Linked DNA regions of Stegostoma tigrinum. The protein of the gene in region 1 interacts with the protein of each later gene in a pairwise test. Links are inferred from orthologs where the notes say so. Each region holds a gene or a part of one and is shown on either strand. Other genes may lie near its edges.

Region 1 (15,889 bases):
CCAGGAGACTTATCAACCCTTAGCTCCATTAGCTTGCCCAACACTACCTCTTCCGTAATAATGATTGTTTCTGGGTCCTGACCTACCTTTGTTTCTTTGTCAATTACTGGCATGTCATTAGTGTCCTCCACTGTGAAGACCGATACAAAATACCTCGGCCATTTCATCATATCCCACAACTAAATTCCCCTTCTCATCCTCTAAAGAGCCAACGTTTACTTTGGCCACTCTTTTTCATTTTATATATTTATAGAAACTTTTGCTATCTGTCTTCATATTCTGTGCTAGTTTTTTCTCATGTTCCATCTCGCTTTTTTTTATAGCTCCTTTTGTGGCTTTCTGTTGACCTTTAAAGTTTTCCCAATCTTCTGGTTTCATGCTGTTTTTGGCCACTGTGTATGTCTTCTCCTTCAATTTGATAGACTCCCTTATTTCCTTAGACACCCATGGCAGATTACCCATTTTCTTACAGTCCTTTCTTTTCATCTCTCTTCTCAAAGGCTGTCCCCTTAGTTCTGGAGTGACCCACAAAAGAAAACATACCTTTCACCTTGTCTACTTTGTCAAGACTGCTCAGAATTTTGTCCACTTCAATCAAATCACCTCTCTCATTTCTAAACCCCCATGGAAACAAGACCAGGGTGTCTAACTTATCCTCAACAGATGACACAGTCATTCCAGACATCTCAACAACACGTTATGTGATCCTTGGATTGTAAGTAAGAGGGAAGATGAGGAGTCCCAAAGATCTAAAGGGCAAGGATAGACCGAGACAGAGGAGTTGATGGTGTGACTGGTGCTGGTCCAGGCAGGGATCAAGAGGGATGCTGTACACAAAAGCTCAGAAAGCATACAAGAGGAAAGTGCAGAGGAGCAGAGTCCATGCTAATATCAATATAACAGGGAAAGAAAGTAAATACACTTGCCAAACACTTTGTTTTGCAAGTGTCGTAACTCCTTTCATTTCACTTGTAACACCCAAATCGTGATCAATCCTGTGGACTCCGGTCCATTCTTCGTGATTTCAGCAATGGCTCAAGGGCCAGGGCACTTCCTATAACAAAAACCAAAATTGCTATGAAAGCTCATCAGGTCTGACGGCATCGAAAGAGAGAAATCAGAGCTGACTTTTCGGGTCGACTGACCCTTCCTCAGTTCTGCTCGACAGGTCGAGCTTTTCTAGTAGTTTCTGTTTTTGTTTCTTATTTACAGCATCAGCAGTTTATTCGGGTTTTATTTCGAGGACATTTTCCAACTTGGACTCACACGGGGTTGTGGCTTTGAGTCCCACAGGAAGACCTGACTCTGCCTTGCAGCCCAGACAGAGCGCTGTTCTGCCAGAGATGCTGTGTGCTGTGTTGATTTTAAACCTTATCTGGCCCATGACTAGGGGTTAGATGGTCCTCTGGCAAAATCTTAAAGAGGAGCTGGGGTAAGTCATCACTTATACATCAATCTACACTGAAATAAGATAATCTCATCATTGCTGTTCGTGGGAGCCTGCTGTGCACACAGCCATATTTCCTACACTGCAGCACAGTCTCTGCACTTCAAACACATGCTCTGAAGTGTTTCCAGAAATCCTGAAATTCTGCTTAAATACCTCCCTTATTGTTCCCTTCATTCCAAGAGAGTCAGTTTCAAAATTCCCAAACCCAGGATAGGGAGTGAATCCAATTGGGTTGGCATCAATCAGATCCATAGCAGCCAGCCAGCTAACTGCACCATTAGACACAGTAAGAACTGCAGATGCTGGAGTCAGAGCTAACACAGTGTGGAGCTGGAGGAACACAGCAGGCCAGGCAGCATCTGAGGAGCAGGAAAGTTAGGCATCGCAGTCGGGTTATAACTAACTCAGAGGTGGTGTCCCAACCGAAAACATCAACTTTCCTGTTCTTCTGATGCTGTCTGACCTGCTGTGCTCCCCCAGCTCCACACTGTGTTATAACTGCACCGTCACTTCCTCCCACCCCTAAAGATTTACAGTTGCTACGACACTTGTACATAAATGATGTGGGCTGGAGCTATGGACACTGATGACAGAGTCTCCATCATTTTTTTTGACTCCATCACATGGCTATCCAGCAATGTATCCCATCCTGAGGCAAGGTTTGGGGGGATATGGGCCAAGCGCAGGCAGGTGGGACTAGTTTAGTTTGGGATTAAGGGCGGTATGGACTAGTTGGACCGAAGGATCTGTTTCTGTACTATAGGACTCGAAGGCAGCCTGCCATTGGTATATGCCGGGGGGATTCGCAGGATGCCGCTCAACCGATTGGGCAGTGTTATGAGTGCATCTTCCTTATTCCTCAAAGGGAGAAAACCCAAAGCTTCTGGCCAAGAGGTAGGGACAGGACCCATGGTCTAATGATGCCCTGTAGATACTTGCCCCCAGTGGTCACAGACTGCAGGGAGGCAATGAACTGGGAAGCATAATTACAGCAACCAACCCCATCTCTGGTCAACTTCCTAGCATGCAGCGCTAGGTAGCAGGAAACCTGATGGAGTTTTCCCCCTTTTCTAGTCCAGGGGCAGCAAGACCAGTTCCAGAACATTCTCGACAGACAGCCATATAGGGCCACCACAGCTACATTAAACATGGGGGAAGGCAATGACTAACTGGTATTATTGATGGCCTATTAATCCTGAGACTGCCATCCTTACCTGGTCTAGCCTACATGTGACTCCAGACCCACAGCAATGTGGGTGGCTCTTAACTGCCCTCTGGGCAATTAGGGATGGGCAATAAATGCTGCCTATTCAGCGATGCTCTTATTTTGGGAATGAGTAAAGGAACTTCAGTTACTGTGCAAAATAAATCACTCACCACAAAGATACTGAGCACAATACACAGCTTAACATACACACAGTACAATAGTTTTGTTGTCAGACTAATAGTCCAGAGAGAACAAAATTAAATTTCACCCAGAGATAGCAAACTCACTCTCATCATTGTAACTAAATTGACTTCTTTTTAAAAGAAATCTGAAAATAACAAACTAGCACTAGTAAAACAACCATGGAGCTGTCAAGTTTGTATTAAGACCATATTCATGTTCACTTACACGGTCAATCTCACAAGGGCCAGGCCTAAATGTGGCTCTGGACACACCTGATAATTCTCTACAGCTCCGTCTTGTTTTCTGACAAGATACTTGGTGTCATTAAATCTTCATGAGGTCAACTTAACAACACATTCCCTTGGAACCTCGGGATGGGTAACAAATACCTGTCCTGTCAGCAACATGCGTGATGAAATAAAAAGGATCCTTTCTGTTTCATCGTGACAATACTTTGTGCAGTGCAAATACTGTAGGGATAATAAACATTACTCCAATATTTCAGAAGACTAAAGGACCCATATACAGCAGGGAAATTCAAAATTTAAAATTAAGTTCTATGTATTTAGCATACTAGCTCACCTTAACTGGGACTATAGTCAGATTCAGAGTTGGCGGAGTTTCCTGTTCTTGATCATACTCCAGTAACACTCTGTGTGTGTGTGTGTGTGTGTGTGTGTGTGTGTGTGTATGCATGTGCACGTGCACACATACACACATGGTCAAGTTTACAGCGACCCAATTGATTACAGAGGCACGAAGTCAACCTTAAAGACACCACGCACAGCCAAAACAAATGAGAAGACTAATCCACAGTTACATCCAAAGTTAATAAGAAAACACTTCTCAGCAACACCTTAATCTGAATGTTCTCATCCTCATCTTCAAATCCTCCCTGGCCTTGCTCTTCTCCTACTTCTGTGATTCTTCGGGAAATCTGCCTACTTGCTATTCTGGCCTCTTGGGCACCTCACACTTGCTTGGTGGCTGTGTTTTTGGTGGTATGGTGCACAAGCTGTGGAAATTGCCTCCTGAGCCTCACCACGTTTCTCCCCGTCCTTGTTCAACACATCTATATCCTTGACCGAGCTTTCGGTCCTCACCCCTGGCATCCTGCGATGTGCCATCGCTTCAGTGTCCAAGCACGTGCCTGCCTCGACAGTCTCCTTCGAAATGCCTTGCAGCATTTTACGAGGCTTAAGGCACCATACGAATGCAAGTGGATGTTGACTTGAGAAAGCCTTTGAACAGTCAAGAAGGAAAAGAAAGGTGTCCGGGGAGGGGGGGGAGCTCTTCCACTGAGGACATGAGGACGTAATGGTGCCATCCACAGTGCACTGAACCACAGGCTGACAATGGTCAGGAATCACAATAGGTACCTCTCAGAATTGGGTGGAAGAGAATCCTTTCAAGGACAGGGGGCTGGAGGGAGAGGGTTCAGTGTTACTGGGAATGGGATAAAACAGAATAGAAAGTGAGTGGGGGTCAGAGGAGAATATACAGAAACCAAAATCTCAGCAACTGAAGGCCATTAAATACAGATTTTATATAGATATATAAACATTAAATTAACCACACACTGAATCAATAGCTTGTGGCTAATATAATTCAAATGATTCGCCCTGTAGACTCTGTGCATTGACCACTGACCACATTGAAACAACTTCAGAGCAGTCGGTTCGAAACAGTCCAGTTTACAAATTGCTAACACCAGCTCTTTCAAAATGGGCATTAATAAATTCTTTATTGTTTAAAAAAAAAGATATAACCGAAACGCTAGCAACTCCCAGTCAGTACAAGTCAAAGGCTGGAAAAAACAATGCTGAGAGGCCCAAATATCAAAATGTGGTATATAAATACACAGAGACACACACATACACAACACAAACCGGCTAAAGAATAGCGATATTAATTCTTGAACAACACAATGCTTTTTTAAAAAAAAACAAGCGCATGATAAGTGGTTCCAAATCAACAAAGGCTCACTGATTTCCCCTCCAAATGTCAGTGGGTTAATTGTGATGAAGGTAGATGCTTTGTATTGACGGCCTCTCTGCGGATGGAGGGTTTGCATGAAGAAGGAGGCGGAAATGTACAGACAGCACTGGAGATCGCCAAACAGAAATACCCTGGGATTGGGGAAAGTGAGAACAGCAGTCCAAGTCAATTTCACCAGTCGGAAATTAACTTGGCCCGCGATCCAACCCATCCTCTGCGTCTTTTTTTTCCTCAAAAAATAAATGACATACAAACAGATCCAGAATACGTTTTAAATAAATGATTGGTCCTCTTACCTGATCTCCCCCTTTTTTTATTTGGTTACACAGCACCTCCGGGAATCCCAGCCAGAAATCAGGAAACGCTGCAGTTTTCTTTTTTTTTGCAAATGGTTACAAAGGAAATGTCTCAGCTTGTTGTTGCTGTTGCCTTGTTTAATTCAGGATCAGCGACCAATCCTTCCCCTCCACCGCCCGCCGTCCCAAGACCCCCTCCCCACACCCTCACAAACAACCCTTCCCACTAACACCCCCCCCCCCCCCCTCCCCACTCCGCACCTCACCACCGACAGACACTGGATTCAAAGGCCGGCTTCAGGAATACAAAGTAACGTGGGTTGCAAAATGTATCTCCTGGAGCGCCCCGCGATCCAACATTTTGTGTTAAAAATGAAAGAAAAAAAACGCAGGGGGACAGATCAAAGCAAAGGCTTAATGATGATCAAGAGTGAAATTAATGCTGGAAGATTGGGGCAAATAATAATTCTGAAGAGGTTCTGTCTCTCACCCACAAAACACAAACCTTCTCCGGTCAAGCTATAACAGAGAATGAGGCAGTCCAGGCCGACCTAATGCCTCGGCACCTCCCAATTGAAGACATCTAGAAAAACACACACACACACACACACGACACAGTACAGGCTAAAAGCTCCACCACTCAACACGAGCAAACTCTGGGATTCAGACTGCCCCACAGAGCGTAGAGCTTACAGTATTTACTCAACCTCATAGCTCCGCTGACATTGCAAACCCTCGCCAGCATATTCTCTCACCAACATTTTTCGTCCTGCTCACACACCACCCCGGTCCCTTCTCTCTGACTTCTCCCCCCACCCCCTTAATTCGTCTTTCTTACGACCCTTTGTGTTTCTCCCTTCGCCCTCTCCAGTTTCCAGCGCCAGGAAGCATTTGCGTTTGCATAGCGCCTGTCGCGGCCACACGCCGGAGTGTTTAATTCCCGGCGTTTTACTGAAGGAAGGATGTTGAAGCCCCGGAGAGAGTGGAATGGAGACTTACTGGAATGAGTAATTTTGGAATCAAAGGGAAGATTAGAGAAGGAGCAAATTATTGCAGATGCTGAGTGCTGAGCTGAAAGCCAATAACAAAGGAGCTTGTTTTCTTTCCACGGATACTGCCTAACCCACTCCAATTCTTGTTTTCATAAAGAGTAGAGAGATTGAGCTTATCCTCCTTGGTGCAGAGAGGTGACCTTATTGAGGTTTTCAAAATTATGAACAATTTTGACAGGGTAAAGGGGGATAACCTGTTTTCACTAGTTGGTAGATCAGTAACTAGGGGTCACAATTTCAAGATTGTCAGCAAGACAGCTAGGAGAGAGATGAGGAGAAACTTCTTTACTCAGAGAGTTGTTGGGATTTGGAATGTGCTAACCGGGAGAGTGGTGGAGGTCGATTCCATGGGAGGTTTCAAAAAGGAGCTGGATATATATCTGAAAGTGACGAATTTAGAGGGCTACAGCAACAAAGCTGGAGAATGGGATTAGCTGGGTAGATCTTTTGGGAGCCTGTACTCACTCAATGGGTTGAATGGCCTCTTTGTGTACTGTAAAATTCTATGACCTCAGGACTTTCAAAAGCCTCTTCATGGCAAGATGCGGGTATGTTGCTTTTGTGTTACCCTGTTTGTCACATAGGGAACCATTTAGACGCACAGCAAGCTCCCACAAACAGCAATAAGATAAAAACCAAAACAACTGTGGATGCTGTAAATCAGGAACAAAAACAAAGTTGCTGGAAAAGCTCAGCAGGTCTGGCAGCATCTGTGGAGGTGAAAACAGAGTTAACGTTTCGGGGTCCAGTCACCTGAGGAAGGGTTATGAGGAAGGGTCACCAGACCGGAAACGTCAACTCTGTTTTCTCCTTCACAGATGCTGCCAGACCTGCTGAGCTTTTCCAACAGCAATAAGATTACGGTCTGTGCAAGTGAAACTGTGCAAAACAACATTAAACAGGGCAAATAAGGAGAAGTACCAACAGAACCTTCTGGAAACACAATGGATCAGGCAGCATCTCCAAGGCTACAACCCCAGTTCGTAATCTTGCAGTTTTACTGATAGGTCTGGGACAAAGAGAAACTAGTCTAGGAGAGACGATGTAACTATTGTCAATTGTTAAAATAAACCCGCTGAAAAATCCAATGCAGGTGCTGGGAATAAAAAACAAAGACAGGAACTGCTGGAGAAATGCAGTTGGCCTGGCAGCATCTGTGGAGAGAACGCAGAGTTAGTGTTTCAGGTCCAGTAATTAACAGTGATAAAACTTAATTTACAAAGGGAAAAGGGGTTACATTACAAAACTTAAACTCTGTTTTTCTCTCCACTGATGTTGCCAGACATGCTGAGTTTCTCCAGTACTTGCTGTTTACATTTCAGGTTTTCAACAGCTGCGGTACTTTAGTTCTGAAAATTGGTAGAATTTTGTTTCTGCTGTTATGACTTGGAGAAAATTGCCTGAAACTGCATGTTTTATAAATTGTGTGTTGTTTTCACAGTTAATGTGCTTTTACTTTCATTCATGGGAGTTATTGATTAGGCCAGTATTTATTATCCTAAGTGCAGTGAAGAATCAACCCCACGGAATCACAAGCAGGTCAGACCAGATTAGAATAACAGATTTCCTTTTCTAAAGGGTATTGGTGGATCAGATTTGTTTTAAATCAACAATTCAACAGAAGTTACATGGTCATAATTAGACGAGCTTCTGATATTGCAGATTCCGACTAAATTTCAATTCCACTATCTGGAATTTGAACCAATATGTAGGTGCTGAGATCACTAGCCCAGTGACATTACCACATCTACTCCATTAAAAGGCTGACAGCACGTTTGATGAGAGAGACATAGTTAATGTTTCAAAATCCCTCTCCTCGGAAGAAGTTACGCTAGAGGCAAAATGCGAACTTTGTTTCTCTCTCCACAGACATTGCCAGACCTGCCAAGTTTCACTTGCGCTTAACAGTTCATGTTTAAACTCTCCAGCATTTTGTATTTAGTTTAGCCCCTACAGTGTGGGATAGGCCATTTGGCCAAACAAGTCCACACTGACTCTCCAAAGAGCATCCCACCCAGACGCACACCCCCTACCCTATTGCCCTTGGCTAATCTACTTAACTCACTCATTCCTGGGCACTATGGCAAAGCCAATCCACCTAAACTGCACAAGCTTGGGCTCCATACAGATAGTTGCCTGAGGCTAGGATTGAACCCAGGCCTCTAGCACTGTAAGGCAGCACTGCTAACCTCAGCCACTGTGCCATCCAACGTCTACAAAAATTTGCAGTGGCCTTTTGTGACACGCTCAGCTCTGTGCTAGATGGTTATAGGTTTGAGACCCACTCCTAAGACATGGGCTGCAGCCTAAGGGCCATCCTGCAATGTTGGAAGTGCCTGCATTCGGGTAAACATTTAAATTGAGGACCTGATTGATTCCTTAGGTGGATTCTAAAAACTTTCATAGGCCACTTCGTCAAAGGAGAAGCCCCTAGGTGGCCTGGCATTTATCCTCAAATCATATCGTTCCAGCCAGAAAATTGGGCCTTTCCCACCTTATTGCTTGTGAGACCTTGCTTCATGCAAAGTCGCGCCATGTTTTGACCATTTCAACAATGGTTGCCCATCAAAAATATAACATTTTCTGTCAGATGTTGCTATCACACTTTCCTTCAATCAAACACCACAGTTAACTCAACGTTGAGCAAAAGAAGAGGTGGTGTGAGGCACTTGGGAGGGAGAGTGGCTGGTGGTGGTGTGAGCTAACACCAATAACCCAGATTTATTGTCAAATAATGAACTGTGAACAGTGGAAGTCTGCGACAAAACCAGAAATTGCTGGAGAAACTCAGCCAGTCTGGCAGCATCAATGGAGACAGAAAGCAGAGTTAACGTTTCAGGTCCTGTGACCCTTCAGAACTGGCAGACCTGAATCTGCTTCAGAATCCAGGCACCTGCACTAATACCCAGGAGACAAGCATTCAAATGCCACCTGGCAGCTGGAGGCATTTCAATGGAATTCATAAATTCATCATCAATAAAATTCTAAGGTGATTTCGACTGATCATGAATCTGCCAAATTATTGTTTCAAAAACTCCATCTGGTTCACTAATGTCCTTTAGAGAAGGAAATCTGCCATCCTTACCTGGTCTAGGCTACTTGTGACTCCAGACCCACAGCAATGTAGCTGACTTGCAACTGACCTTGGTACAGACTGAGCAAGGCACTCAGATCAAGGGCATGTGAGCATCAAAAATAAGGCCAGGAGGAGGCCATTCAGCCCGTCAAGCCTCCTGTACTATTCAATTGCATCATTGCTAACCTGATTGGTCTCAACACTCCTTTCTTGCCTGCTGCTCATATGTGTTGACTCTTTTGTTGATCTAATCTCTGTCTTGAATGTATTCAATGACTCAGCCTCCTGGAAGGAGAATTGTAAATATTAGTGACCCTTTGGAAGGAGATAAATGTTGGCCCCGCCAATAACATCCGCATCCAAGAATGAATATATAAAAATCCAAAATGTGACCTGGATCTGGAAAGCTGTTGTTTCCTCTCCCTGCAGATAATGACACACTATTCCCACTCATGAAAAGATCGAGAGGCCACAGACTTAAGGCATTTGGCAAAAGAAGTAAAAGTGAACTGAGACTAAAAGAGTTTCACTTAACAAGTAATTAGGGTCTGGAATGCACTGGTAATGAAAGTGTGGTGGAGGCAGGTTCAATCAAGCTTTTCAAGAGGTACTTAGACTGTTATCTGTAAAGGAAAGTTTAGAACATAAGATGCAAGAGCAGAAGGAGGCCATTCAGCCCAATAAGCCTATTCTGTCATCCAATAAGCTCATGGCTGGTCGATTAATCCACAATTCAATTTTCCTGCCTTTTCTCCATAACTTTTCTTTCCCTTATTGATTAAAATTCTGTCCATCTCTCAGGGGTTTTGAATCTGTGGAATTTTCTATTGAGGCTGGGTTATTGTATATCATTTATTGTATATTATTGTATTTTGGGATGCAGTGGGGGGAGGCCCATTTTGAAGCTTGTGAAATCCACATTGATAAAACCAGCCCAGCTCATCCCCGCCTCCCTAACCTGTTCTTCCTCTCACCTATCCCCTCCTCCCACCTCAAGCCGCACCCCCATCTCCTCACTACGAACCTCATCCCGCCCCCTTGACCTATCCCTTCTCCCTGGACTGACCTATCCCCTCCCTACCTCCCCACCTACACTCACCTTTACTGGCTCCATCCCCGCCCCTTTAACTTGTCTGTCTCCTCTCCAACTATCTTCTCCTCTATCCATCCGCAATTTGCCTCCTCCTCTCTCCCTATTTATTTCAGAACTCTCTCCCCCTCCTCCTTCTCTGATGAGGGGACTAGGCCTGAATTATCAGCTTTTGTGCTCCTGAGATGCTGTTGGGCCTGCTGTGTTCATCCAGCTTCCAGATTCTCCAGCATCTGCAGTTCCCATTATCTCTTATCGTTGAGTTGAATGGCCTACTTCTGCTCTTACATCTTATGGTCTTGGAGTGGTAGAGTCATAACCTCATACAAAAACAGTGACTGCAGCCGTAACACAGTAATTCTGGCAGCAACTGTGGAGAGAACACAGAGTTAATATTTCAAGTCCAGTGACCCTTCATCATAACTGAATACAGCTGGGAAAGAGGGTATTTATGCTAATGACAGGGTGGGGTGTGGGTGTTGAGTAGAGTACATGAAAGCAGAGCTCAGAGAAATGCAGAGAAAGTAAAAAGAGATTGGCAAACAATGATATAACTGATAATAAGTAAGAGAGCAACAAATATTAGGTATGGTGAATAGATGAAATTGTGTTGGCTGTGCAGGGCGTACCCATGCAATGCAGTAGCTAGGGGTATTGGGGGATGTGATAACCAACACGGATGAGGGCATTCTGGATATTCCATCTGCCAAATTTTTGCATTTTCTCTTTGCCTGTTTCTATCCCTCTGCAGACGCTTTATATCACCCTCACCACTTGCCTTCCTACCTATTCTTCTCATCTGCACGCTCGGCTACAGTATGTTTATTTTCCTCATCCAAGTCATTAATGAAGAATGTAAATAACTGTGACTCCAATACTGATCCTACTGGCACTCCACTAGGTAGAGGTTGCCATCCTGAAGATGATCCCCTCATCCCAGCTCTCTGTTCTCTGTAAATTAACCAAACCCCTGTTCATGCTAATGTACTCTCCCCAACACTAGTTGCTTTCTGAAAATGCAAATATATCATGTCTATTGTTTCCCTTTTATCTATCTTGCTTGTTACTTTCTCAAAACTTTCCAGTAAATTTATCAGACATGATGTTCCCTTCATGAAGCCATGCTGATTCTACTTGATCACATCATATTTTTCTAAATGCTCTGCTATTATATTCTTTCTAATAGACACTAACATTTTCCCCATAATTGATGTTAAGCTAACTGGCCTATAGTTACCTTTCTTTAGTCCCCTCCCTTTTTAAATAAAATTGTTACATTGGCAGTTTTCCAATCTCATGGGACTTCACCAGAACCTAAGGATTCTTGCAAGATTACAAACAATGCATCCACAATGCCTGTGACTACTTCCTCTAAACTCCCAGCGTGCACCCCATCAGATCCCATCAGATAAATGAGTGACTTTATCAGTCTTTAGCTTCAGTAATTTCCCCCATACATCTTTTTGATAGTGATAGTTATTGTACTTATTTCATTTTGTTCCTTGATTTTTGGTAATTTTGGACTGCTATTAGTATCTTTGACTATGAATGCAAAGTATTTTATTCAATTCCTACCATTTCCTGGTTCTCTGTTGTTGTTTTCTCTTGTCTGGCTTCTCTCTTCCCTTTTACATATTTAAAGAAGCTCTTTCTCTCCATCTTGATATTACTTCCAAGTTTACCCCAAAGTTTATTTCTTCCCTCTTTATTATTTTTTGTCATCTTCTATTGATGTATAAAACGTTCTCAAATCCTCTGACTTACCATGAATCTCAGCAGCATTATATCCTTTCTATTTCAGTTCAATAGTGTCCTTAACTTCCCTGCTTAAGCCATGCATGGTTAATCCCCTTCCTCGAGATCTTCTTCCTCACTGGAATATAGCTCGTTCCCATTATGTCCTCATTTAGTCTCTGCCTCACCATTTAGCTACTGTTAGGGGCCCTATAGATTACTCCTACTAGCATCTTCTTTCCCTTTTTATCTCCTAACTCAACCTATAACTTCAAATCCATGATTATTTCTTGCTACTTATTATACTTATTCCATCCCTACCAACAAAGCAACCTCACCAGCCCTTCCTTTCTGACTCTCACAAACACCTGATTATTTAGTTCCTTGCTTTGATCACCTTGCAACCAAGTATCCATCATGGCTATGATACCATATCCATTAACCTGTGTTTGTACTATTAATTCACTGATTTTGTTCCAAATACTGCATGCACCCAAATAGAGAGCGATTAATTTTGACATTTCTTACCATTTTACCCCTTGTGACCCTATTTGCTGTGGTTTTTCGATATTTGTAAACTCTGTGCCTTTCAATCTCTCTCTGGGTGTCAGTATCCAAATAGCTGCTGTGTAATGCTATCATATTCTCTTACTTTGTGAGCCCACGTATCCCGTCTCTCAAACTCATTAATTAGTTTAAAGCCGTCTTTAAAGACTTTTGTATTAGATTTGAAAGGTCATTGGTCCCAGCCCATCGCACCAAAGACCCCTTCCTGTGCCAGTACCTCACACACCGAAACCTATTGCATCCACACCAATCTTAGGTCCATGCAGTCTTGTCCACACAGCTTCAAGAACATTGTACCTATTGCATCTCACGTAGACCAGACTAAGTAAGGCCAGCAGTTTCCATCCCTGAAGGACAGTAATGAACCAAATGGGGTTTTCCAACAATTGACAATGGTTTTATGGTCATCGTTAGACTCTTAATTCTGGCTTATCTTAAAAATTGAATTCAAACTCCATCATCTGCCATGGTGGGATTCAAACCTGGAACATTACCTGGAACATTAATGGTCTGGTAATAACTCCAATACACCATTGTTTCCCTTTTGTGAAACTTTGCAGTTGCTTCTTGCTGAGACTGTAACAGTTGTCAGGACCCAATGCTTGTGAGATGAAAGCCAGAAAGCCACAATTTAAACATTCTTGTCCTCTTGCAAAATCACTCCAAAATATTTCATGCTCCCCACTCCCGCACCTCCTCCCCCAGTCCCTTACTTTTCCATGATCTCTGCATCCTTAAATTCTTGTTTCTTGAGATGCCTCAGTTTCAGTTGCCACACCACAGCAGCTATGTGGTTAGCACTGCAGCCAGGGACCCGGGTTCGATTCCAGCCTCGGGCAACTGTCTGTGTGGAGTTTGCACATTCTCCCTGTGTCTGTGTGGGTTTCCTCTGGGTGCTCCAGTTTCCTCCCACAGCCCAAAGATGTGCAGGTTAGGTGGACCGGCCATGCTAAATTGCCCATAGTGTTCAGGGGTATGTGGGTTATAGGGGGATGGGTCTGGGTGGGATGCTTCAGGGGGCAGTGTGGACTTGTTGGGCCGAAGGGCCTGTTTCTACATTGTAGGTAATCTAATCTAAAAACTCTGGAACTCTCTCCCTAAACCATTCTGCAAGCTTCGCTCTACAGTTAAAATGCTCTTTAAAAGCTAAAACGCTCCAGTCACCTTAATACTTCCTAATGTGGCTCAGTGATATATTTCATTTGATAATGTACATGAAGCATGTAGATATGTTTACCGCATCAAAGGTGCTATATAACTGCACCTTGTAGCTGTAGACAATCCAAAGGCCTATACGGATGATTGGAGGATCTGCAGCCATTTTGAAATGGTTACGGACCTTAGTAGAGATATGCCAAAAATTCAAAAGATTTGGGGGGCAGAGGTGAGTAAGTTGGCCATCACCAAGGAGAAGGTGCTAGAAAAGCTGAATGGCCTGAAGGTGGACAAATTACCAGGACCAGATGGACAATCCCCCAGAGTTCTGAAGGAGAGGGCTGAAGAGGTTGTGGACTTGTTCATGCTCATCTTTCAGAAATCATTGGAGTCAGGGAGGGTCCCAGAGGACTGGAAAATCAATAACATAAGACCCCCCCCCACATTTAAGAAAGGAATAAGGAAAAAATGAGAAATTACAGGCCAATTAGCCTGACCTTGGTCGTTGGTAAAATTGTGGAGTCCATTGTTTTGGATGAGATTTCTGAACTCTTGAAGTATATTGAAAAATAGGGCAAAGTCAGCATGGCTTCATCAAGGAGGAAACATGCCTGACAAATCTGCTAGAATTCTTTGAGAATGTAATGAGCAAATCAGACCAAGGAGAACCAATGGATGTTATCTACCTAGACTTCAAGAAGGCCTTTGACAAGGTGCCGAACAGGAGCCTGCTAAATAAGACAAGGGCCCTTGGTGTTAGAGGCAAGGTGCTAACATGCACAGAAGATTGGCGATCTGGCAGAAAACAGGGAGTGGGGATAAAAGGGTCTTTCACAGGGCGGCAGCTGGTGAGAAGTGGTGTTTCGCAAGGGTCAGTGTTGGGACCACAACTTTTCACTTTATACATTAATGATCAACATGAAGGAACTGAGGACATTCAGGCTATGCTTGTAGATGATACAAAGATAGGTAGAGGGACAGGTAGTATTAAGGAGATGAGGAGGCTGCACAAGGATTTGGACAGATCAGGAGAGTGAACAATGAAGTGGCAGTTGGATTACAACGTGAGAAAATATGAGGTCATGCGCTTTGTTCGGAAGAATAGAGGCATGGACTATTTTCTGAATGGCAGAAAATTCAGAAATCTGAAGTGCAAAGGGACTTGGGATTTTTAATCCACGATTCTCTTAAGGTAAACTTACAGGTTGAGTTGGTAGTTAGGAAAGCAATGTTGGCATTTATTTCAAGAGGACTAGAATATAAAAGCAGGGATGTACTTCTAAGACCCTAGAAGGCTTTGGTCAGGCCACATACCGTGAGCGATTTTGGTCTTTATACCTTACAAAGGATGTACTGGCCCTGGAGCCAATCTTGAGGAGATCGCAAAAATGATCCCAGAAATGAAAGCTTTAACATATGAGGAACGTTTGAGGGCTCTGGGTCTATACTCAATGGAGTTTAGAAGTAAGAGGAGCATCTAACTAAAAATTACAGAATACTGAATGACCTGGACAGAGTGGATGTTGGGAAGAAGTTTCCTTTAGTAGCAGAGACAAGGATCCAAGAGCACAGCTTTAGAGTAAAGGGAAGGCCTTTTAGAATGGAGATAAGGGGAAACTTCTTCAGCCAGAGACTGGTGAGCCTATGGAATTCACTGCCACAGAAAACTGTGGAGGCCAGCTCATTTAAGATGGAGATAGATGGTTCTTGATTGTCAAGGGGATCACAGGTTACGGGCAGAAAGCAGGAGAATGGGGTTGAGAAATTTAGCATCCATGATTGAATGGCAGAGTGGGCTCAGTGGGCCAAATGGCCTAATTTCTGCTCCTACGTCTTGCGGTGTTATGGTTTCATGGAGTCCAAACAGCAGAGGCCTTTGGAGCAGAAATCAACCCAGGAAAAGCAGGCCGACTAAGCTATAGGGTTTGGTTAGCTCAGTTGGTTCACAGGATGAATTGATGCAAACAGTGTGGGTTCAATTCCTGCAGTGGCTGGGGTTATCATGATTGACTATCCTTGCCAGCCTCCTCCTCTTTCCTGAGACTAAGCCACCATCAGTTATCTCCCTCTAATAACAGAGC
Region 2 (15,545 bases), on another chromosome or scaffold:
TGCAGGGTTCCCAAGCAAAATATGAGATGCTGTTCCTGCAGCTTTTGGGTGGCATCGTTGTGGCACGGCAGGAGGCCCTGGTCGTCCAAGGAGTGGGAGGGGGAGTTGGAATGGTGGAGTTGTTTGTTGCCAACGAAGTGTAGGTGTTCCACAAAGCGATCCCCAAGCCTCTGCTTGGAATTGACTCTTAACTGTTTTTTTCTGAAAAGGACTATCAAGTCATTCAGTTCAAGAGAATATTGGCTTTGTGAGAGACGCCCACATTCCAAAAAACTTCTTAAAACAGAACTTTTAAAAATTCTGTTCAGAAGGGTTCACCTTCAAGAAAGACAATTGCTACCTTTGAATTTAAAGAAATGTAATAATGGACTCATGCAGAAACCAGTAAAAATCTCCACCTTGACCATATGCATTACTTTTAACTCAATTCCTGGCATGAACCTTTTGCCATCGTTTAAACAATTTTATCAATCCTGATTTGTCTCTCAGACCGCAATTCTCACCCCTTTTCGTAGCATCTTAAATTGTTCCTCATTGCTGGGCCCGCTGCAAACACGGTTTACAGAGACAGTTATTTCCATATCAGCTTTCTGTTTGTTCCAGATCTCACTGCAGCAGCAAGGAATGTATTAATCGCTCTTTCCTTTCCTACTCCTGCAGCTGTGTTGTGCCTTTAATGACTGTTCGCTACTTTCACCCGTTACATGTTATAGGACTGATCCAGCCATTACCATTCATCTTGTTTTGGTTTTCAATCTGCCCTGCTTACATTCCAACTGGAAAACCTCAAATAAACTAACTATAATTGATCATGTCCTGCTTCGATTGGTTTGACTCCTATACTCAGAGGCCTTCCCGTCACTTCCATTAATGTCATTTATATGGGCACAAACCTCTAGACTGACCATTCTTTGCAGTACTGAGGGGTTGCATCTTTGGATAGGTTAATCTCGTCCACTTTCTCAGGCAGATATATAAGATTCCACAGTATTAGTTTGAAGATGGAGATGAGAGTTCTCCCTAGTGTCCTAGGCAAAATTTATTCCCCTAATCTTAGAATCCCTACAATGTGGAAGCAGCTATTCGACCCATCAAGTCCACACAAACCCTCTGAACAGTATCCCACCTAGACCCACCCCTCTACTCTACCCTTGTAACCCTGTATTTTCCATGGCAAACCCATCTAGCCTTCAGGTGCTTGGTCAATTTAGCATGGCCAATCCAACTAACCTGCACATCTTTGGACTGTGGGTGGAAACTGAAGCACCCGGAGAAAACCCACGCAGGCACGGGGTGAACGTCTGTGTGAAGTTTGCATAATTGCACGAGGGTGGAATTGAACCTGGGTCCCTGGCACTGTGAGGCAGCAGTGCTAACCACTGAGCCACAGTGCCACCCAATCAACATCACACAAATAAATGATCTGATAATGACCAGATTGCTGTTTGTGGGAGCTTGCTGTGTCCACTTTGGCTGCTCTGTTTCCTACACTATGACTCTTTGAAAAGCACTTCCTGTCATCATGAAAGGCACTACAGAAACCCAATCCGTCTTTGCTTGTCTTGACCGATTATGGCCCACGCACTTGATTCCAAATACATTACAAGGATTTGCTGGACTGCCAAGCCTCTGTATAACTGAGCTGTGAGCTCCTGGCACCAAACTCTCACCAGAATTAAACTGAGTTTATTCATTTTGAACTACCATTAAAATTATAGAATGAAAGCTCTCACCAGTCCTTGGTTGTAAATTCAGTCTAAAATTCCCATCAGTACTGACTTATGAATCTGGTAACCTTCCTCCTTTAAAAGCTCACACTTTTTCCATTTCACTAATGATGAAATGCAAGCAGCTATTTATTAATGCTGCATACATGAAGATGATGCAGACTTTCTCTGCACTGTGGAAGCCTTGTAAAAGAATAAACAAACAAATGTTGACCTGCTCTCAGTTCTGCTTAGTGTCTCTCTATGCAAATTATAGCTGCTTATTGAACACTGGGGATGAAATCTCAGCAGTCATCCACTTAACTCTTGCAAAATTCTCTTGATCACTAACAAGATCTACGACGCTTGGGAACAAAGTCAATAAAATAATTTTACTAAACTATCACTAACCACATTCAAATCCGAAGTCTCTATCAGTGTTTCATCATGCATCGGGCTTCCTGGGTGACTAGTTCAGCAAAACCAGAATGGAGATCATAGTATCTATGACAATGATTTCATTTTCAACTCCTATATTTCCTTTGCACTAATGCCATTGGCAAGAAGTTATAATATTAATACTGAGTCTGAGTTATAAATCCTATTCCCTGAAAGACTCAGGTTAAGAAAAAAGAACATAAGAAAAATGTACAAGTTAGGAGTTGACCACTCAGCCCCTTTAACCATTCAATAAGATCATGGCTTATCTGATTATCCACGTATCTACTTAGCCCCTGATTCATTCTGTGATTTCTTGCGAATCTATCCATCTCTGTCTTACAAGTATCAAAAAGATTCTGATTCGGCAACTTCTGTGGAAGGGTATTCATTAGAGTCATGGCCCTCAGAGGAAGAAAGAGTGCCTCATCTCCAACTCCGATATGTATTTTTAAACAGTAATTTAAAGTTCTGGATTCTCCCATTAGAGGCACCCATTCTATATGCACACTGTTAAGACCCCTATATAAAGGGATCTTATATGTTTCAATCAAGGTGCCTCTTACTCTTCTAATCTCCAATGGATACACGCCCAGCATGACCAAACTTCCCTTGTAAGACACCTGCCCATTCCAGATATTAGTCTAGATCGGTAGGAAGGTATATTGTGAAAACATAAGGAAGTTGCAGGTGGATATAGATAGGTTGAGTGAATGTGTAAAAACCTTGACAGGTCGGGAAAGAAGTTGCTCACTATTTTACTCTTCTGCCAAAAGCAGAACACTATTTAAGCAGAGAATGCTGAACTGAGAGATGCAGAGAGATTTAGGTGTTTTGGTGCATGAGTCACAAAAGGGTAGTGGCAGATACAACATGTAATCAAGAAGGCAATTAGCTTTGTGTTCCCTAATATAAGTGGAACTGAATGTAAAAATAAGGACATTACGCTTTAGTTATATAGGACATTGGTGAGAATATTGGTTCTTGAATATTGGTTGCACTTTTGTCTCCTTATTTAAGGATGTAAATGTGTTAGAGGAGATTTACAAGATTGATAACTGAAATGAGTGGGTTTTCTCATGAGGAAGGGTTGGACAGGCTGGGCTTGTTCCCGTTGGAGTTTAGTAGAGTGAGGAGTGACTTGGTCAAATGACTGAATGGTCTTGACAAGGTGGGCATGGAAAGAATTTTCTTGTGTGCATCAGTCCAGAACTTGAGAACCCCGTTTTAAAATTAGGGGTCGCCATTTCAGGACAGAAGCGAGAATTACCTTCTCAGCATCTCCGCTGTGTAGACCTTTGACGATAACATCCCTCAGTAATTCTGACAAGGCCCAATCTTTCAAAGGCAAACTGTTTCTTCCCAAGGATTAGCCTTGTGAATGCTCTCTGGACGACATCTAGCATTAAGTATTAGAATGTGTCTCATCAGACAAAATTTTCTCTGTTCACAGATTCCCTCATTGGTATTGGGGAGAGGGAAGACAGAGAGGAAGAGACTTGGAGAGAGGGAGTAATTGGAGAAGAAAGAGAGAAAGGGAAGGATTTGGGTGGAATCAGAGAGAGAGAGAGAGAGAGAGAGAGAGAGAGAGAAAGGATTTGGGTGGGGGGGGTAGAAGAATGGTTTAGGGAGAAATTGAGAAACAGAGAAAGTCTGCTCTCTTTCAAAGAAAATACACAATCTTTCTTGACAAAGTACACATAAGAAATTATTGTGCAAGATTAAAGTGCATGGGATTGGGAGAAGAGAAATTGAGGTGGACAGAAAACTGGTTGGCAGAGAAGAAACAAAGATTCGGAATTGATGGGTCCTTTTCAATTTGGTTGGCAGTAACTATTGGAGTGCCACAAGGATCAATGCTGAGACCCCAGCTATTCACAATAAATATTAATGATTTGGATGAGGAAACAAAATGTAACATTTCAATATTTTCGGATGATACCAGGTTGGGTGGGAGGATGAAATGGAAAAGGATGCCGAGATCCTTCAGCATGATCTGGGCAGCTTGGGTGAATCGGCAAATCAATGGCAGATGCAGGATAATTTGGATAAATATGTGGTTATGCACTTTGGAAGCAAAAACAAGAAGGCAGCTTACTACCCGACTGGTTGTAAACTGGGAGAGGGGAGTGTGCAGCGGGACCTGGGTGAAACCAACACCATTTCAAGCCCACTGACTCCCACAGCTACCTAGAATACACCTCCTCCCACCCACCTTCCTGCAAAAATTCCATCCCCTACTCCCAGTTCCTCCGCCTCCACCACATCTGCACCCAGGATGAGGCATTCCACTCCTGTACATCCCAGATGTGGTCATCCTTCAAGGACCGCAACTACCCACCCTGTCCCACAATGGTCGAGAACGCCCTCGACCATGTCTCCCACATTTCCCGCAACTCATCCCTCACACCCGCTCCCCGCAATGACCGCCAAAAGACAATCCCCCTAGTCCTCACATACCACCCCACCAACCTCCGAACACAACGCATCATCCTCCGACACTTCCACCAACTGCAATCCGACCCCACCACCAAAGACATTTTTCCATCCCCACCCTTGTCTGCCTTCTGGAGAGACCAAGTTTTTCTGAAGCGTCTAGACCTGAAACATCAGCCTTCCTGCTCCTCTGATGCTGCTTGGCCTGCTGTGTTCACCCAGCTCTGCACCTTGTTATCTCAGATTCTCCAGCGTCTGCAGTTCCTACTATCGCTGTAGGTAAGCATGCAGGTGCAGCAGGTGATAAGGAAGGCCTTCATTGCGAGAGGTTTTGAGTACTTGTTGTGGTCTCCTTCTCTGAGGAAGGATGCTCTTGCTCTCGAGGGAGTGCAGGGAAGGTTTACCAGCTGAGTCCAGGAATGGCAGGTCTGATGTAGCAGGAGAGAGTGTCAAGGTTAGGGTTGTTTTCGCTGGAGTTCAGACAAACGAGCAGGGGGCTTTCGTAGAGGCTTATAAAATTCTAACAAGTCTAGACAGGGTAGATGCAGAATGTCCCGGATGCCGGGTGTGTCCAAAACCAGGGATCACAGTGCGAGGTTTCAGGGTAGGCCACTTAAGATGGAAATGAGGAGACATTTCTTCACCCAAAGAGTGGAGAGTCTGTGGAATTCATTATCACAGGAAGTAGTTGATGTCAAAACATTATCTGTATTCAAGAGGCGACTAGATATAGCACTTAGGGTGAATGGGATCAAAAGTTGTTGGGAGAAAGCAGGATTAGGCTATTGAGTTGGACCATCAGCCATGATCGTGGTAAATGGCGGAGCAGGCTCGAAGGGCAGAATGGCCTCCCCCTATGTGTCAAATCCCTCCGGGGTGGTTCAGGTAGGAAATGCAGAGTTGGGCAGGGGGGGGCAGGGGGAGCAGGAGAAGCTGGCGCCGAGCAGACGGGGATGCAGCCACCGAGTTTCTCTATGGGTCTCTCAGCGAAATCTTCTCTACCTCACCCCCCCCCAAAAAAAAAGTCTCTCTCCTCCCCCAGCCCCAGACACCCAAAACAAACTTTACAGGAATATCAAAGCACTAAATAAATAGTTACTTTTAAAAACTCTGCTCCGTCACTCGTCCCTGACTTGCCCCGCTCTGTCTTGAGGCAGCTGCTTTGCCCGGAATCCCCGGGGTTAGCTGCTCGGTTCCCTCCAGCGCCGCGCCGCGTCGCTCCGATCGGCTCCGGGGAAGCCGGAGGGAGCCGGGGAGCAGTGGCTCGGGCGGGGCTCGCCAGAGAACGAGAAGCACCCAAACGGAAAACAAAACCTTCGACACTTCGACAGCAGAAAGAGTTCAAAAAGTTTACAGACCTGAGAACAACAAGTTAACGCGGAAGTTGGGGACAAACTGCAGAAAGGGGCTCCGCAGAGCCGCCTGCTGTTGTAGTTACACAAGGACAGAGTTAGGCCATTCGGCCCATCGAATCTGCTCCTGTTTGACGCGTTTCTCAATCCGGCCAGGCAACGATCAAAACCTGATGTGAAAAGTTACATATTTCAACAGGAACAAAAGAAAAATTAAAGTGGCGCCGTTTAGAGGGAAACAACGCGATCAGGGGGCTATTTAAATGCTCGGGCCCGAGTTACTGCAGCTAGAATTGGAAATTCTGACAATTTTTAACGGGAGAGAGCTAAGGCAGACAAGCCTTCAGAGATTGATAAATTCTTGATCTCACAAGGAATCAAGGGCTACGGGGAGAGTGTAGGGAAGTGAAGTAGAAATGCCCATCAGGCATGATTAAATGGCGGAGTGGACTCGATGGGTCGAATGGCCTTACTTCCACTCCTATGTCTTATGGTCTAAGCCAAAATTGGCCTAAACCTGACTATTTGTGTACAGGAAATTCAGAACCTGTGCAACATTTTGAATATATAAACGCATGTTGAGATGAAAAGTATATAATGCACATATTTTGCGAATTTTAAAATAGATGCAGATGATACAGGTCAGTTCTGTGAAGTTTTTCTTAAATAAAATGGGTCAGAAAGTGCTTTCTAAACAGTGACCTAAATGCATCAATTCTAAGAAAGCATTTCAGTGCAGTCAACCCCTGCACAACATCTCTACTTCTTCAGGCGGCTCAGGAAATTTGTCATGTCCATAAGGTCCCTCACCAACTCCTACAGGTGCCCCATTGAAAGCAAACTGTCCAGGTGTATAACAGGCTGGTACGGCAACTGCTCTACCCAGGGCTGTAAGAAACTACAGAAGGTGGTGTGCACTGTCCAGACCATCACGGAAGCCAATCTTCCATCCATGGACTCCATTTACATGGCTCACTTCCATGGAAAGACTGCCAACATCATCAAAGACCTATCGTGGCCTGGTAATGATCTCCTACAACCTCTTCTGTCAGGCAGAAGATACAGGAGATTGAACACACGCACCAGCATGTTCAGTGACAGCTTCTTCCTGTCTGTTATTTGACTGATGAACAGACTCTCTAGCGTCAAATAACACTGATGTTGCTAATGTTGATCTGGCCTTGCACATACCCTGTGCAATGTAACCTGTATGCCTCTAAATCTTTTTACAACCTTTGATCTGTACATCCTTGCTATGATCTCCCTGTACTGCTCGTAAACAAAGCTTTTCACTGTATTTAGGTACATGTGACAATCAATCAATCAATAATGCATGGAATATTTGTATTACTGAGTTACAACAGACCAGAAACCAATTAGTTTAGTATCAAAATAAAATTGATGGATAAACGCAGCAGGTCTAGCAGCATCTGAAGAGAGAATGTAGATTTAATGTTCTGAAGATGAGTGACTGGACTAGGGTGTTAACTCTGCTTTCTGTCCACAGACACTCTGTCTATGCCTGCCAAGTTTCTCTTGCAATTTGTTTTAATTTAGTATTGACATCAGAACAGAAGTTCAAGGTTTCAATTTGGAAACATCAAAGTTCAATTCAGAAGGGAAAACAGTTTCTCCTGGAAAAAGCAATCAAGCTTTCATTTTACAAGAGCTGAAAATGTTTCAGTTGTGCAGCTTCAAAGCCACAAGGGTTTGAGTAAAAATCTTCAAGTTGTTAGAACTGAACATGTACAGGCTGTCAGAATTGAGGAAGGTTCATGCCAGTAGATTCAGAAAGTAGTCACAAAGTTGTCTCTGCAGTCCAGGGAAAAGACACTGGGAAGAGTCCGTAATGTAAAAATATAAAGAGCTAAAAAGAAAATTCTCTGGAATTGAGCATCTTTAAAAGGATACTGGTGGAAAATAATTTGTAACTTTGTTTTGTTGATGGTGTTAAATCTTTTGTGTAATAAACTGATGGTCAGCTACGAAAGAACATCTGCAGCCTCATGTGAATACATTTAAGTGCCTAAGTACCACAGTGACCAATGCAATAAACTGAAAGGATTTTCAGCCACATTATAGTCTGGCATCTGACTTGTCCAGTATTGCCACCTGATGGGACCATAACAATACATAAATCGAGATGTAAGCAACAGCATTCACCGAAGCACTGAACAAGGGTGGGAGTACGAGAGTGAGATGAGCTGTAAAGAAATCATCAATAAAAGGGGTAAACCATATGCATTAAGTCTCAGTCAATTCCATGATGATGCCACGAGGGGCAACAGAGGCCTTGGCCGAGGGCAGGATAAAAGCGATCTGTTCGGCTGCCTAAACAGGGTGCTGCATGTTACTTGGATAGGTTTCACCGTACAGTTAACTAGCAGCACTTGGTAAGCAGACCATCACACTGATAGCTGTATTCAGTTACCGCCAACTATAATTCTTTACCTGATCCATGGTCTTGTAATTTTCCTCCTGTTATTGAATATATATGATTCACTTGTTTTTATAAATGATATTTAATAAGATATTGCAATGAAGTAGAGGCACCAATTCATGCAAGTTATTTTATATACATAGAAGTGCAATTAGACATATCCAGTTCAACCTATTCCATACATTTTGATTTAACATGTTTCAAGTCTTAATCCAGTTTCACTTTAAAGTTTTTGTAGACACCTTGCCCTTTTTGGATTACAGTTTAAATCAAAATTCTGTCTGTTCTTTCTGCAGTCACTACTGGAACAAGAGAAGTTCACCCGAGGAACCATGACAGTATTTAATACTCAAACATCACAAACACACATGATCCAGCTGTTTCTGGGCACTTTGTGTGCAAATAAGCAGCTGTGCTTCTATCATTATAACAATGCCCACACATTTCAAAAGTATTCAAATTGGCTGTAAAATACTTTACAATATCCTAATATGGTAGAAGGCTCCATTGAAATGTCAGTCTTTCTTTAAAGGCCCCACTTGTGTAATGTATCCCATATTTGAACGCCTTCACCTGGGAATTTTTATTCTAATCATCCATCATTGCTGTGTCCACATTACATGAACTTTATCTAACAAACACCAAACAGAAATTGCTGATTTAATGAAATATACAGTTGCTCAGTCCCTTTTATAAAAGGAAGGAGGCTGACATAGAGCTCCCCGAGCTCTCCAGAAGTTAGGAAGAATGATTAATTGCTTCTGAAAACAGTGGTCAATTCTTCAGCTTGCACATCATAATTTCACAGAGGCAGTGTAAGTTCCAAAACGTTTTCGTCGTCATCTTCAATCAATATTTCTTTGAAATGTCAGTACTTGTGGCCGTCAATACCACTGGAGCCATTTACCCAAACTCATTTAACTGCCTATTCTTTTCAACACTCATGTACTTTTCCAATGTTGATGTCTCTTTGGAAAAGCAGAGTTCTCCAAATCCAAATGTTTCTCAATAGTGAAATAGGTTTTGAGTCTGACAAAGGTGTTACACAGGGAGCAGACTGATCATGGCCTCAAATACAGAATTCCATTCCTTGCCCTCTGAAGATATCAATTTATAATGGGATTCATTTCCCAGTTTCTGACTGTGCTTCATTGACCACTCAAGCTGGAGTTTCAAGTGTATCACAAGGCTGCTCATCAATGGGAGAGTAGTGTCATTGCTGTGCTGAGCTCAGCTAGCTGTCATAGGGTGTCCGCATGCATGTCTTTGCCAAAAGAAATCACCACACAGATCAAAACCCCCTAACAGCAAGCTTCTGTCTTGGTAAACATTTAAGAAAGTGGCACATTCCATTCCTGAACTCAAGTATAATACATATAAATTAAAGATAAACGTAAGTTGTGCACATGTGAACATCCAGCATCAGTTTTGCTATTTAGCTTACCAGCACAAAGGAATTGTAATGAGTACTTAAGAAATCAAAAAGGAATACTGGATTCTGTGATGGTCAACAGGGCATTGGTGAGACCACATCTACAACACTGTGTAGATAAAGTACTCTTTATTTAAGAAAGGATATCAATACACAAGCAGTTCAGAAAAGTTCACAAGTCTTTTCTGACTTGAAGCAACTTACGACGTCAATTTGGACCCATATCCGTTGGGGTTATGAAGAATGAGCAGCATCTTGCGAGTAGCAAGGAATTGGTCATTTCAGACTCTCAAGTTTTACCGAAACACACAAACGTCTCAAGGGGACTTGAGATGGTGAATGTTGTGAGGAAGTTTCCCCCTTAAAGGAAAGACCAGGGAATGCAGTTTAAAGATTAGAGGTCTCTCATTCAAGTCATGGATCAGGAGAACTTTTTTTTTCAATTATGGGTTCATGGAAATCTCTTGCCACAGAGTGGTGGAGGTATGGAGCAATTTAATATTTTAAATAAAATGTGTTGGAAATATCTGTAGAAGGGAAAGAGTTCACTTTCAAGCCTGATATGATTTTATATGCTCTTTGGGGGCAGGTGGAAGGGCAAGTGGAACAGATGGGAAAGCTGCCACAAAACAAAGGCAAAGAGAGTGTTAATGGTAGTAGAGAATACATACAGACGAGAACAGGTGAAATGATGGGGGTTAATAGCAGCAGCTGGATTAGCTCTGCTTTTACTGCATTGATGCAGAAATGTACTTATTCCTGGAGGGTGGATATCTTGTGCACAGACAATTAACAGTTAACCACATCGTGTGGATCGAGAGTCAAGTGGAGGCTAGATGAGGCAAGGACGGCTGAGATTCCTTCCCTAAAGGATAAGTGTGAATCAAGTGGGGTTTTAAAACAATTAACAATGGTTGTCTGGTTGTTATCAGTCTATTCTATTTCTTTCAGAATTTTTAAATTGAATGTAAATTTGCTTAAGTGGAATTCGCTTCCATGTCCCCAGAACATCAGGTCTCTGGAATACTAGAGGCAGACACAATACGACTGTGACAAAGAGAGAAATTTGGCAAATGGCAGTTGAGGCTTTAACCACATCTTTGGGGTTAGGAGCAGATTTCAGGGGTTGAATGGCCTATTGCTCCTCTTGGTGATTATCCTGGAGGAGTTGGGTTATCTCTAAGAGGAGCTGGGAGTATTCCTTCTCGGGTAGTGCGTGTCTGCGGACCATTCCCAGCGCCTCCTCCTCGGTCAGGCTGCTGTACTCCTGCGGGGTTTTGAGGGGCCAGTGGCCAGCTAGTTCACACAGAGCCACGGTGAAGGCCGTAGGATCCTTGGCCCCGAAACAGCTGCGGCGTGGCCAGAGGATGATCCGGGCGCCGTCATGCTCCAAAGAGGAGGAGGTTTGGCCAGGTGGCGGAGTGCCGAGCGGGCATCCCCGGGTCAGAAAGAGGTTGTGGGCCAGGGAACGGCGGATGAAGAGGCCGGTCAGGGCATGGAGAGTGAGGGCAGCCCGGGCCAGGCCTCCATCACCGCAGTCTGTGTAGAGGACCAAGCCGCCGGCCGGGTGCTCGGACAGCAGATGGACAGGGAGAAAACGGGCCGAGGCTGGGGCCCCGGGCTCCAGTAGAGGACGGGTGGTTGCCCACTCTATCTCCAGGCGCTGGTCCAGGTAGTAGCCGTGCAGGTGGAGATGGTTGACAGAGGCCTCGGCGCCCAGGCTGTTGAAGCCGACGCGGAAGCTGGGATCCGAGCTCAGGAAGAGAAGCTCCAGAGCCCTCAGCACTGAGCCCTGGGTGAGGATCTGCGGCAGGCGACGGGCCGGTTCAGGCAGAAGCAGGACGTGACCCCACTCCAAGGGGCTGACATTGATGACCAACAAGGCCTCGGCCTCATCCCCAGCCTCTCCAAGATCCCGCTTCCGGAGGCGGAACAGCACCTCCCGGGCCGGGATGCGGGTGAAGTTGAACCGCTGCGGATCGAAGGGCTGCCGGACGCTGAGGATCTCCTGCGGTGGCCGCCGCTCACGGGCCCGCTCGGGGTTGAGCTGCGCTACCAGGCCCCGGGGCCCCGGCAGGACGCGGGTGGGGGGTCCCCGGCGCGGCAGGCGGTAACGGAAGCAGCCGCTGGACAACCGCTCCTCCCAGGCCGACAGCAGAGCCGCGTCGAAGCGGGAGCCCGAGCCACCCCGTTGGACCCCGTTCCAGATCAGGTCTTCCTCGGAGTAAATAAAGACCGGGGCCTGGTCCCAAGGCAGGCCCAGGCCTCCGTCCGGCTTCGTGGGCGCTGCCATCTTGCTCTGACGTCACGGGTACCATCTGTTACCATGGTTTCCAGTGGCGGTACACTGTCAAAAGTTAGAAGGGGAAGCAATCGAAATAAAAATCCTTCCAAAATCACAGAAACACCTCGTGGTTCGAAATCTGAAATAAAATTAGAATTTAAAAAAACAGTCAACGAGGATCATGCCTCGCCCATCGCGGAAGAGCCAATTAGAAATAAAGATTATAGCAGCCAATCGAATCACGCGATCACCAACCAAACTGTGCGCCGGAGCTCTGCTCCGAACCAATAGGAGGAGGGCTGACTGTTAACAGCCAATAATAGGGAAGCCTCTGCCACTGGCGACCAATCGCCATCGCGGAGGTCGGGTGGCCAATAACAAGGTGTGTGCCCTGGACCAATCGGAGGTGGCGTCTAGTTGCCAGGGCGACAATGGGGCCAGAGCCGAGTCCGCGGCCTGGACTGGCAGGCGAGCGCCAGGTGAGTGACTGACAGTGGGAGAAAGAAGGGGCCCTTTCAACTACCAGCCGCTTCCCATCGCCATCACTGCTACCACCGGCCCATTGGGAGGCCCGGGCTTTCAGATCCGGCCATCGCCCTCACCTCCCGCTTCGAACCCATAGCAACGGGGTAGCGGGGGTGGGGGGCGACTTAGCAACGGCCTGGTCCGGACCTGATCGGGCCTGTGCTGACCTGACCGGCCCGGCCCACGCATTGAACTGAGTCATTTAGACTTGAAACGTTAGCTTGCTCTCTCGCTCAATGGATGCTGCCTTGACCCAACAGCGATCCTCAGCATATTTACGTTTTCAGTCTGAAAAACAGCGAGCCGCAGGTTGAGACAAGAGGCTCTGGCCAACATCTCTGTGCAGGCTTCCTGCGCTGCTCCGGTACAAGCTGGAAAAACTGAGCCTCGTTATCCGCCGGGGGCCTGCAGCTCGCTGGGTCCAATATTGAGTTAAATAATTTTAGATCCTGACCACCTCCGCCTCCTACAATCTGACCCCACAACCAAAGAGATATTTCCCTCCCCACCCCTGTCTGCCTTCCCTAGGCACTGCTCTCTCCACAGCTCCCTCATCCGCTCCACATTCCGCACTAACCCTACCACCCCCCAGGACCTTTCCCTGCAACTGCAGGAAGTGCCACCTCCCCCCACCACCCACCCTCATCCCAGGCCCCAGGAAGACTTCCCACATCAAGCAGAGGTTCACCTGCACATCCGTCAATGTGGCATATTGTATTCAGTGTTCCCAGTGTAACCTCCTCTACATTGGGGAAACCAAGTCGGAGCTTGGGGACCGCTTTGTGAAACACCTCCACTCGGTTTGCAATAAACAACTGCACCTCCCAGTCACAAACCATTTCAACAACCCCCCCCCCCCACTTCCTTAGACGACATGTCCATCACGGCCTCCTGCAGTGCCACAACGATGCCATCCGAAGGTTGCAGGAACAGCACCCCATATTTTCCTTGGGAACCCTGCAGCCCAATGGTATTAATGCAGACTTCACAAGCTGCAAAATCTCCCTTCCTCCTACCACATCCCTAAAACCAGCCCAGCTTGTCCACACCTGCCTAACCTGTCCTTCCTCCTGCCTGTATCCTACTCCCACCTCAAGCCCCACCCCCATCTCCTATCTACTAGCCTCATCTCACCCCCTTGACCTGTCCATCCTCGCTGGACTGACCTATCCCCTCCCTAACTCCTCACCTACACTCACCTTTACTGGCTGTCTCCTCTCCACCTATCTTCTCCTGTATCCGCCTCCCTGTCTCTCCCTACTTATTTCAGAACCCCCTTCCCCTCCCCCATTTCTGAAGAAGGGTATAGACCTGAAACGTCAGCTTTCCTGCTCCTCTGATGCTGCTTGGCCTGCTGTGTTCATCCAGCTCTACACCTTGTTATCTCAGATTCTCCAGCATCTGCAGGTCCTACTATCTCTTCCATATTGAGCATGGGTTCACCTGCACATCTGTCAACTTGTTCAACTGTAACAGCTGCTCCCAATGTGGCCTCCTGTACATCGGTGAGACCAAGCGTGGACTGGGAGACCATTTTGTAGAGCACGTGTGCTCTGTATGCGAAAAATGACAACACCTTCTGGTTGCCAATCATTTTAACTCCCTGGGCAGCATGTCCATCCTGGGCCTCCTCCAGTGTCACAATGATGCCACCCGCAAACTGGAGGAGCAGCGCTTCATATTCTGCCTCGGGAGCCTACAGCTCAATGGCCTAAACATGGAATTCACCAGTTTTAACATCGCCTCACCCATGTCCAACCCTCCCTCTCATCCCGGCCTCCTTGACCTGACACAACCTGTCCACCTTCTCTCCCATCTATCCATCCCTCCCATCCCACTGACCAATCTCCACTACTCCTTACCTGCACTCACCTATCACTATCTCGCCTACCTTCCCCAGTCCTACCCCTCCTCTATTTATTTATGAGCTCCCTTCCCCCTCCCCATTTCTGAAGAAGAGTCCTGATCCGAAACCTCTACTTTCCTGCTCCTCTGCTGCTGCCTGGGCTGCTGTATTCTTCCAGCTCCATACTGTGTTAACACCTCTTCCCATGTCTTTTACTCACTCCCGCACCCTTGGCCCTGTCATCTCATGGGTTGCTTTCATCACAGCTAACCCATTTTCACCCACTAATGGTCCATTAATAATTTTTCTACCTGAGGAAGGGTCACTTGACCCAAATGGTAACTCTGATTTCTCTCCATAGATGCTTCCAGACCTCCTGAGCTTTTGCAGCAATTTGTGTTTTTGTCACAGCTTTTCTATGTCCGTGCTCATCATTTGTTTAAATCGTAGAATCCCTACAGTGCAGATGGAGGCTATTCAGTCCATCATCTTTCTGAAGAGCATCCATCCCATACACAGCCACTGTGCTGCCAGTCTGTCCAACTGCTGTTTTCTCTCCGACTCCACCTATCACTTACTTCTTTCTCTCTTCACACGACAATCATCTTCAGCAAATTTACCACTAGTTATTGTCAATATGGAAGAAGGATCACTGGACTCAAAACTGTAACTCTGCTTTCTGTCTGCAGGTGCTGCCAGACCAGCTGAGTTGCTCCAGCAATTTCTATTTTTGTGTTAGAGAGGAATTCATTTGGCCCAAACTTTCGTACGTTGCCTTGAATTGTCTCACTGGCTCCAAACCTCCTTGGAAGGTGTTTCCATTGTACATATGCAAGTTCTCATGTTCTAGGTCTTGTCAATTCAGTGAGCACTTGTGTGAGGCCGCACTGCCATTCCCGTCCTCACCTACCTTTATTCTATTTGACCGAGCTTCTCTTGCTGGCTTCTCACTGTGTCTGTTCCTTCTGAATTGGAGCCAAATTACTGTATGTTAGCCCCTATCCCCACTGCTCAGTTCCAATGAAGTGCTTAGTGTTTCACTGTATTTAAATATTAGTGCATTAAATTGAATGGTTATCCTATGGT

The links.
Region 2: the proteins of nuclear receptor-interacting protein 1-like (region 1) and calcium and integrin-binding protein 1-like interact in a two-hybrid assay, tested with the Homo sapiens proteins (2 studies listed by BioGRID and IntAct). The link is inferred for Stegostoma tigrinum from reciprocal best matches to the Homo sapiens genes NRIP1 and CIB1.

Annotation. Positions count from the first base shown.
Region 1 is NC_081365.1:8,052,448-8,068,336, forward strand, and holds the start of nuclear receptor-interacting protein 1-like, read right to left. Parts: upstream 5,927-15,889; 5' UTR 5,890-5,926; intron 5,882-5,889; exon of another isoform or gene 5,640-5,881; intron 5,308-5,639; exon of another isoform or gene 5,213-5,307; 5' UTR 5,135-5,212; intron 4,888-5,134; exon of another isoform or gene 4,827-4,887; intron 1,055-4,826; exon of another isoform or gene 925-1,054; intron 1-924. UniProt on the Homo sapiens protein: Modulates transcriptional activation by steroid receptors such as NR3C1, NR3C2 and ESR1. Also modulates transcriptional repression by nuclear hormone receptors.
Region 2 is NC_081389.1:22,354,849-22,370,393, reverse strand, and holds the start of calcium and integrin-binding protein 1-like, read right to left. Parts: upstream 6,020-15,545; 5' UTR 5,939-6,019; intron 5,933-5,938; exon of another isoform or gene 5,680-5,932; intron 1-5,679. Other genes in the region: gdpgp1 (GDP-D-glucose phosphorylase 1), read right to left, coding at 10,940-12,097; tubulin polyglutamylase ttll6-like, read left to right, coding at 12,520-12,567. UniProt on the Homo sapiens protein: Calcium-binding protein that plays a role in the regulation of numerous cellular processes, such as cell differentiation, cell division, cell proliferation, cell migration, thrombosis, angiogenesis, cardiac hypertrophy and apoptosis.